2 linked regions of the Sus scrofa genome follow. The protein of the gene in region 2 interacts with the protein of the main gene of each other region in a biochemical or structural test. Links are inferred from orthologs where the notes say so. Each region holds a gene or a part of one and is shown on either strand. Other genes may lie near its edges.

What was found.
Region 1: the proteins of PSTPIP1 (region 2) and PTPN18 form a complex in vitro, tested with the Homo sapiens proteins (2 studies listed by BioGRID and IntAct). The link is inferred for Sus scrofa from reciprocal best matches to the Homo sapiens genes PSTPIP1 and PTPN18.

What each region holds. Positions count from the first base shown.
Region 1 is NC_010457.5:31,963,614-31,968,171, reverse strand, and holds the start of PTPN18 (tyrosine-protein phosphatase non-receptor type 18), read left to right. Parts: upstream 1-1,600; 5' UTR 1,601-2,505; coding exon 2,506-2,598; intron 2,599-4,558. UniProt on the Homo sapiens protein: Differentially dephosphorylate autophosphorylated tyrosine kinases which are known to be overexpressed in tumor tissues.
Region 2 is NC_010449.5:57,123,385-57,127,189, reverse strand, and holds part of PSTPIP1 (proline-serine-threonine phosphatase-interacting protein 1), read right to left. Parts: intron 3,757-3,805; exon of another isoform or gene 3,589-3,756; coding exon of another isoform or gene 3,580-3,588; intron 1,334-3,579; coding exon 1,233-1,333; intron 916-1,232; coding exon 841-915; intron 1-840. UniProt on the Homo sapiens protein: Involved in regulation of the actin cytoskeleton. May regulate WAS actin-bundling activity. Bridges the interaction between ABL1 and PTPN18 leading to ABL1 dephosphorylation.

The sequences.
Region 1 (4,558 bases), on a different chromosome or scaffold from region 2:
CCCCCAAAAGGCTTGCAGACAGACACATAGCCACCTGGTAAGACAGATTTCCAGGTAGAGTCCTAGGGCGAGACAAACAGACCACAGCAGGACAGCCAGGCAGATTCTTGGACAGGCATCCAGAAAGACCTGTGTCCCTCCCACCCCACTTCCAGCCAGCCAACAGACAATCACTCAAGAACAAACAGAGGGCCCTGCCACTGGACAAAGATGTTACTCAGTGGAGAGACACCCCACTATGCAGTCAACTAGCTAGCCAGACCTTCAGCTTGACAGACTTAAGCTCTGCCAGGAAGACAGACCCAGCCTACAAGAAAGTCAAGCCCTCTGGACAGACAGATGCCCCCCCAAGCCAGGGAGAGAGTAGTCATAATATATCCCATCCTGTTGGGCAGACCCTTAGCTGGAAGTGGAACACAAGATACCCAGCTGGCCAGAACCCTTTTGCTGGGTCAACCACCCTGCCTCCCTGTCACCACCATAGATGATATGGTGGCTCACTGACTCAGTGTTGCCTCTGATCCCCAGATATCACCGGTTTCCAGTGACCATTGCCATCCAATGACATCCACCATGAGCAGGGTCCATAAAGGCCTTTTGTGCTCCCACGGTGGCTCTCCCCCACCCCTTTACTCTGGTATCCACTACCCCCAAGTGACTGCCATTAGTGTCCATGAGGACTCAAAGATTTGGGTCTCTGGCTTCTCCAGTGAGCCTCAAAGTCTGCTGGTATTTCCATGTCTTGCAACCCTGTGTCTCCAGCAGCCATCCAAGAAATCTCTGATCCCACTGACATTCACTATCAGCCCTGAATAGGAGTCCTCGATGACCTTCCCTGACTCTTTTGACACCTCAATTACTTTAACATTCCAAGTCCCAGTGGTTACTTTCAGACTCTGACCTCCCAGTGACCGCTGCTGACATCTATGGATAGTCTGTGTGAATACCTTCAATGAGTTCACTATCAATGTCCATCCTTGGTGATCACTACTGACCCCCTTTGAACTCTCACAGGTGATGGTGATAAACAGTCAACAGTGATTTCTACTAATCGCTCAATGAGAGAAACACTGACCTGCTTTCACCTCAGTCACTTAAACTGGGATCAGAAAACCACAGCCTGCAGACCACCAAAACTTTTGTGACAAAATTTCAGTGCCCACGAAGTTTGCAATACAATCACACTCATTCCTTTACATATGCCTTTACATATTTCACAAGGCATGGCAGAGTTGAGTAGCTGGGACAAGGACAAGGTTTCTTAAAGAACCCAAGCCCTTTAAGAAACAGTTTGCCTGTCCCTGACTTAAACAGCACGCTAATGAACTTTATCCACACCCCTTACCCTTGAGGTGAGGGGTGGATGAGCCCATCTACACTGGCGGGTCCTTGGGAAGGGGGCAGGCTCCTCTCTGCCCTCTCCAGCCTCTCTTAGGGGCTGTATACTAGCTTTCACATTTTTAAAGACCAGAGTGTAGTGCAAATAAAGCTGCTGAAACTGTTCCTGTTGTGGCTCAGCGGCTTGCAAACGGTCTAGTATCCACTAGGATGCATGTTTGATCCCTGGCCTCAGTGGGTTAAGGATCTGGCATTGCAGAGAGCTGTGGTATATAGGTCGCAGACGCAGCTGGGATCTGGATCTCGTTGCTGTGGCTTGGCCTAGGTCGGCAGCCACAGCTTCCATTCCACCCCTGGCCTGGGAACTTCTATATACCGCAGGTGCGGCCATTAAAAAAGCAAAAACAAACCAACAAAAGACACAAACAACTCTTTTAAAAGCGTGGAGAACACCTAGTCCCCTGAACCCACTTCCAGGCCTCGGTACTCATTTTCCAATAAGGTTTATGTGAGTTGAGATCCTCAAATTTGGACTGGATTTTGGCGTCCTCAACTCTTCTTTGCACAACTCAGAAAAAGAAGCAATCTTAAGAAATACAAGGATTCAGCCCCACAGCCCAGGTGCCCGGGTGTCATTTTCCCCTGCGGCTACCTCCCCCGACCTCTCTCGGACCCCGCCGGAGTGCACAACGCGGGACGGTCCCCACGCGGGGTCCGCCAGGCACAAGTTGCAGCTCAAACTAGGCGACCAGCTCCACCCACAGCTGCCGCACCACCCCTTCTCGGATCTGGACAAAACCTAGCTCCCAGGACACCAGGCCGGGTGAAGGTTCGCTGTCATGCATGCCCCGGCGCGGACTCCCGGGTCCGAGGAAGGAGGTGTCCCTGGGATCGTGCGGACTCAGCCAAGCCCGCGCGGTGGCCACAAAAAACGGAAGCGCCGGGGCAGGACAAGTTTTTGGCCCAGCAGCGGGTCCTGGAGCCTGTGGGCGGGGGCGGGGACAGGCTCTGAGGGTCTTTGGCTTAGGGGCGTGTCCTGCCCGTCGCTGCGCACTTCCATTAGCTGGCGAGATTGGAGGCGGGGCCTCGGCATCCTCCCACGGAGTCTACACTAGCTAGGAGCGCGGAGCGCTGCAGCTGGACGGGACCTTGCTGGCCGGCGGCGCCATGAGCCACAGCCTGGACGCGGTGCGGAGCTTCCTGGAGCAGCTGGAGGCGCGGGGCGGCCGGGAGGGGGCGGTCCTCGCCGGCGAGTTCAGCGTGAGTGGGCGAGTGTGGACGGCGGCGCGGGCTTGCCCTGGACGATCTGGACGTTTGTTCTTCTGTGCGCTCTGCTGCGCTTTGCCTCTGTTTCTGGCGTGCAGGGGCGTCTCCTCGCCTCCAGGTCTTTTTCTCTCCCCAGCACCTCTCTCTGTCGCAATCTCTCCCTGTCTTCACCGTCTGGTCCGCAGAGCCCCGGAGGGCGAAGTCCACTGCTGGGCTGGGCGGGGCCGCACACGCCCTCGGGTCCTGGAGCCCTCGCTTCGCTCCCGGAACCATCCCGTTGTTGGGCAGGCTGGGCGGGGGAGGGCGGGCGTGCACCTGTGCTGGACGCGCGACACCCGGCCGCTCCTGATGACCCGGAGGTCACTCCTGTGGTCCTGGGGAAGAAGGGGCTAGGGGAAGAGGAACCAAGAGGCCCCGCTGCGGCAAGGGTGTGGTCACCAGCTCAGATAGGCGCTGTGGCCCCGGGGGGTTTTACCTACCCCCTCTGGCCTCGGTTTCTCCTTGGGTGAGTAGCGGACGTTGATGACTAAACTGACCTGAGGATTAAAATAACCAGTGTGGGTAAAAAGCGCTAAGCACATCCTGAGAGCTCACTTCACAGACGACTTTGTCACTAATGGTAATATTCGAAACTTGACAATGGAGTAATGCAAGCTATACGCATGGAGTGGTGATGCAGTAGCGTCATGGGCATCACATACTACACGTGCTAAGATGTTTTAAATATAACATAGAAACGTGCTGTGCAAATATGTAAACACAATATATGGTGACATATCTCAAATTTAAAAATAAGTTTAACAAATATATGTGTATAAGCATTAATAAATGACTAGATAATCATTAAGTACAATAAAAATTGCTAACAGAATCAAATTAATGAAATTAATACATATAACATCTATAGTGAATCTGTATAAATATGATCATACATTATAATTTTCATAGCATTAAAGTTCATAAGGAGTCCCCATCGTGGCGCAGGGGTTAATGAATGCGACCAGGAACCATGAGGTTGCAGGTTCGATCCCTGGCCTTGCTCAGTGGGTTAAAGATCTGGTGTTGCTGTGAGCTGTGGTGTAGGTCACAGACTCGGCTCAGATCCAGTGTTGCTGTGGCTGTGGCATAGGCAGGCAGCTACAGTGCCAATTAGATCCCTAGCCAGGGAATCTCCATATGCTGCTGGAGCAGCCCTAGAAAAGGCAAACAAACAAACAAAAAGTTCATAAAACAATAGAATAAACAAATACAACATGGAATTTACAAAATAAGCAGTTATTCAAATTCCTAAGTATGTGACAAATAGATAAAAGAAATATACAGATATAAAAATAGATGTTGTATATAACAAATGTGTAATAAACAAAACATGTAATTTATTCAGTATGAAAATGTACATAGTAAATATAAACACATAATACCCAGGTGGTACATGTCATCATGCCCATCTGGGTCTGGGTCCAGTCTGGGACAGTGAGCAGTGCTGAAGACCCCTGTGCAGAAGGCTAGGTGGTGAACAGTGCCAGTTGCTGGAGGCCACCCTCCTGCCAGCAGTCTCCTGCACTCACAGGAATCTTTGGGTCTCCCTAGGCTTTGGTTTTTTCATTTCTACCGATAGTAGAAATATCGGTAGTGGTACCCACTGCACTAGTGTGTCCATGGGATTTAAATGACCTGATGGGTGTAAGTACACTGGGCTTGCACCCAGTGGTGGCTTTGTAGGTGTTCCTTATTATCATGATTATAAATACCTGATGATGATGGTAATACAATTCACTAATTATAAAGATCTAACAGTAGTAAAACAGCTACAGTGTCTAGTTTCACAAGTCATTCATGTACATTGTATATTGTCCTATATATTGTGTATCATCATGTTTTTTATATTAACTACATAATATATTACAATTATTGTTCACAACACAAAGTAATACATTTTGAGTGTACAGGGGTT
Region 2 (3,805 bases):
AGGCCTGACCTCTGGGGGCAAGGGTGAGGGGTTGTTATGGCGGCAGCAGCCTGGGTCAGGTGTTCGGGCTCCTGGGCAGGAGGAGGAGGAGGACTCTCAGAGCCCTTCCAGGACACAGACTCTAGTGCCCTGTCTGCCCCTCGGCTCAGTCCTCACCCGGCAAGGAGCGTCCACACCTCCCACGGCAGCCCTTTCACTCCACTGTTAGAAAGTTCTCCTTAGCCGCCCTCGAACCATCACCGTCTCCCCTTCAGCATCCTCCCTCGCTGTCTGCAGCCAGGGGCCAGAGAAGCTCAGCTGCTTCACAGAGGCACTGCCCTCACTGCCTCCCCACTGAGCCAGGCCTGAGCGGAGCCCTGGACCCAAATAACCCTCTGAGGACAGTTGTATTATCATCCTGCTTGAGGATGAGGAAGTAGAGGCGCAGAGTGTCACTGTCAAGGTCACCGTCAGGGTCACACATTTAATATGGGTGAGGAGTTGCCCCCGCCCCATCTCAGGCCACACCTCCCTCCTGGAAGCCCAAGGAGCCCAACACTGCCATTCAAGGCTCTCAGGGCTCGGATGGAGGCCGCCCAGGCTGAGCAGGCTGTGCTGCAGGCACCTGAGGACAGATGACCTCCGCCCCCTGCCCAGGGCCTCCTTGCCGCTCAGACTGCTGGCTTGTCTTCCCCCCACCCACCCACAGGGCCCGATTCCCAAAGGGTGATCCTCCAGGCACCCCTCCTCTGGCTGCGCACTCCCCCTGCCACCCACCAAGCCCCGTCCACCTCATGCCCAGAAGCCCTAAACCCCGTCCAAAAGCCCAGAAAGTGCCTGGCAAAGCAGAAGGGCTCTTACTTGATCTCCGTCTGGCCACCTGCCTTCCGGGCGATCTGCACCAGCTCCTTGCCGTACCGCTCCTCCGCCTGGGCCCTGCAAGGACAGCACAAGTGCTGTGTCTCCTCCACTTCTGCCATCCTGACTCAAGACAGCTGGCTGCAGGGGACCTGAGCGTCCACCTGCTCAGCCTCTGGGGGCTGGCTGGCCCTGTGGGCTCCTCCTTGGGAAGGTTAAGCCCCCAGCCCTTCTCTAGATGAGTGTTGGCCAAACACAGGCAGATCTGAAGGAACATCAGAACACATGCCCATGTCAGGGAGGCCCAGGTTGGGACGAACAGGACAGTCACACTCCTGACACAGATAGCTTCTGGGTTGCGGGCTCGGCCACATCCCTCCCCGCCCAGGGCTCACCTCTGCCTCAGCAGCTCCTCCACGTCCTTGCACATCTTCCTGCCATCCAGCAGCCGCTGCAGCAGCACCTCGTAGCCTGTGTGGGCCGTGAAGTCCCTGCACTGGAATGCAGGACAGAGGGACGTGAGGGTCACAGCAGGGCTGCGCAGGTTGGGGACACTGAGTACAGCTTGGCGAGGACCCCTCTCTCCAGCCTTGGGAAAACTGGTCTATCTCCCCCATTCAAGAGCAAGCTCTTGGGGTTCAGGACCTAGTTTCACACAGCACACAGTAGGGGCCCCTGTCTGTGGAGGTACCAGGTGTCAGTGGGCCCCGCGTGGATCAGCGCTCACAGGCCAGGACAGAGCAACCCTAACCTAGGACGGCCATGGGAAAGGCCCCCACAGAGGCCCCGTGATGACAGCCTTATGGGGTGCCTGGCACTGCTCCCTCCTGTCACCTTCTCAATTACCCAATTACTCAGGTGTCCAGGTGAGAAAACTGAGGCGCAGCTGGGTGACGTGTACCGGGGGTGACACAGCTTGAACGTGGCAGGCCTGGCACTGAACCCAGGCTGTCTGGCTCAGGTCTACGCCCTTTCCTTGACACTATACAGCCTCTGTGGAGACAACAGCAATTGCTGTTCCTGATCCACCACCATGTGGCAGACGCCACCTCAGCCTCACTCTGTGGGCTCAGGTGATCCTCCTGTACCCACCTGGAGAGGTGTGCACTGAGGGTCAGGACCAGGGCACACCTAACACGCACTTAGGACACACCCAGGACACTCTAGGTCCACCTCCTAGCCAGGATGGGGGGAGGGGGCATCCTGGGGATTTCTCGGGACACAGCCGCCTCTCTGCCGCCTGGACGGCTCAGACCGCTCAGCCCATCCTGTTCCTCCTGATCATTGGACTCTCTTCTCTTCACCCCCGGAATGGATTCTGAGCTGCTGGCGCAGGAGGTTGGTGGGCAGGAGGTACTACTTGAGGACTATGAGGGGACAGAGTGTCTCCTAGGACCGTCCTAGTCTAGGGAGTGGGTCCTGGGGCCAGGCAGCCCCCTCCTGGCTCACCCCAGGCACTTTGGGGGAGAAGCAAGCAGAGAGGTGGGGAGAGTGGAGCTGAGAGCAGGGCTGTGTGCCTCTCAGCCTGGCTCCCATCCAGTCTCCAGGAAGGAAAACCCCGCCCCCACACTGCCAGGCAAATGCAAATTGGGGGCAGCCTAGAGAGATTCAGCACCTAGTCTGCCTGTCCCTCCCCACAGACCCCTGAAACTTCAGAGACTGGGGAAAGGAGCCCCCACTTCCCTGACCACACAGATCACAGCCCCATTTTCAGAGCTTAGCGAATCGGCGGGGCTTTTTCTCAAGGCCACACACACTTGGGGAAGGCAGGTCTGACCCTTCTCAGAGTCAAGGGTCGTTGATGCTCCTTTCGCTGCCCTAAGCCTCCCCTCACAGTCTCAGTAGTGGGCGTTGGGGGGAGAGGCAGGGAGGAGTCTAAATCAAGGAGAGCTTCCCGCAGGAAGAGGCATTAGAAAGGGGTTCTGGGAAGAGAAGGTGTTGTTCTTCAAGGTCTAAGAAGAATCAGAGGTAAAGAAGGGCAGAGATGCCACAAACTGCCCCAACTGGCTCCATGCTGGGCCCAGCCCGCCTTCAGCAAACTCAGAAAAGTTGAATCTCCAGGCCTGCAGCGCACTTAGGCCACCAAGCTCACACCCTCCTCTGTAAGCAGCCCCAGAAATTCCTAACACCCAGGAATTACCCATGGCTCAGGGTGACAAGCAGCAGGCCGGGGCCTCGGCTCGCTGCTCAGGGCCCCAGCACGAGGCACTCATCCCCCTAGCCCCTGCAGGCCTGTCCACTCCCATGTCCAAGCTGGTGAAGCTGGGCCAGGCTTCTGTCTCGGTGGCTTTCGTGGGCCACTTGCCTACTAACCAGCCAGCAGACCACAACTTCCTGCCCCTTGGCCCTCCCTCCGGACCCCCAGGACAAAAGCCCATAGCAGCCAGGGAGGAAAACGGATCTGGAGACTCGGCCTCCTGCCCTGGCCCTGAGCTGAACACCAGCAGTCAGGGCCGGACTCCACAGACCACCAGCCGGGAAGCACCTTGCCCAGTGCCCTGCAGTCCCTGGGGAAACAGGGGCCCAGAGTAGGGAAGGACTGCAGGGCACCTGCTGTGACTCCACGATGGCTCGGGGTGGGGGCGGGGGGGAAACAGAGCAGGGAGATGCTGACAGAGCCCAGCCCTGCAGTGGACGCCCGGCTCTTCCCTCCCAGCCCCACACCCTGACTCCCCAGGGGAAACCCTCCATCCTGATTGAGACCCCCAGAGGGCAAAGCAAAGCAAACAAACCCAAACCTACATTGGCCATTCTGGAGGAGGAAGCGGGCAGAGGGGTCCTGCAGGCTGGGTCCCCAGGAGTTCAAGTCCCCAAAGTACTGCTGGCTCCAGAATCTTGTCTGGTCTCTGCTCAGAGCATGGTGGTGCCAGCGGGGCCTTTGGCCCGTGAGCTGTCATCATAAGTGACTAGACTGTTCCAAGGAAGTGCCTGACTCCCTGGGGGCTGCTCCCAGCCAGGCTGCACACCC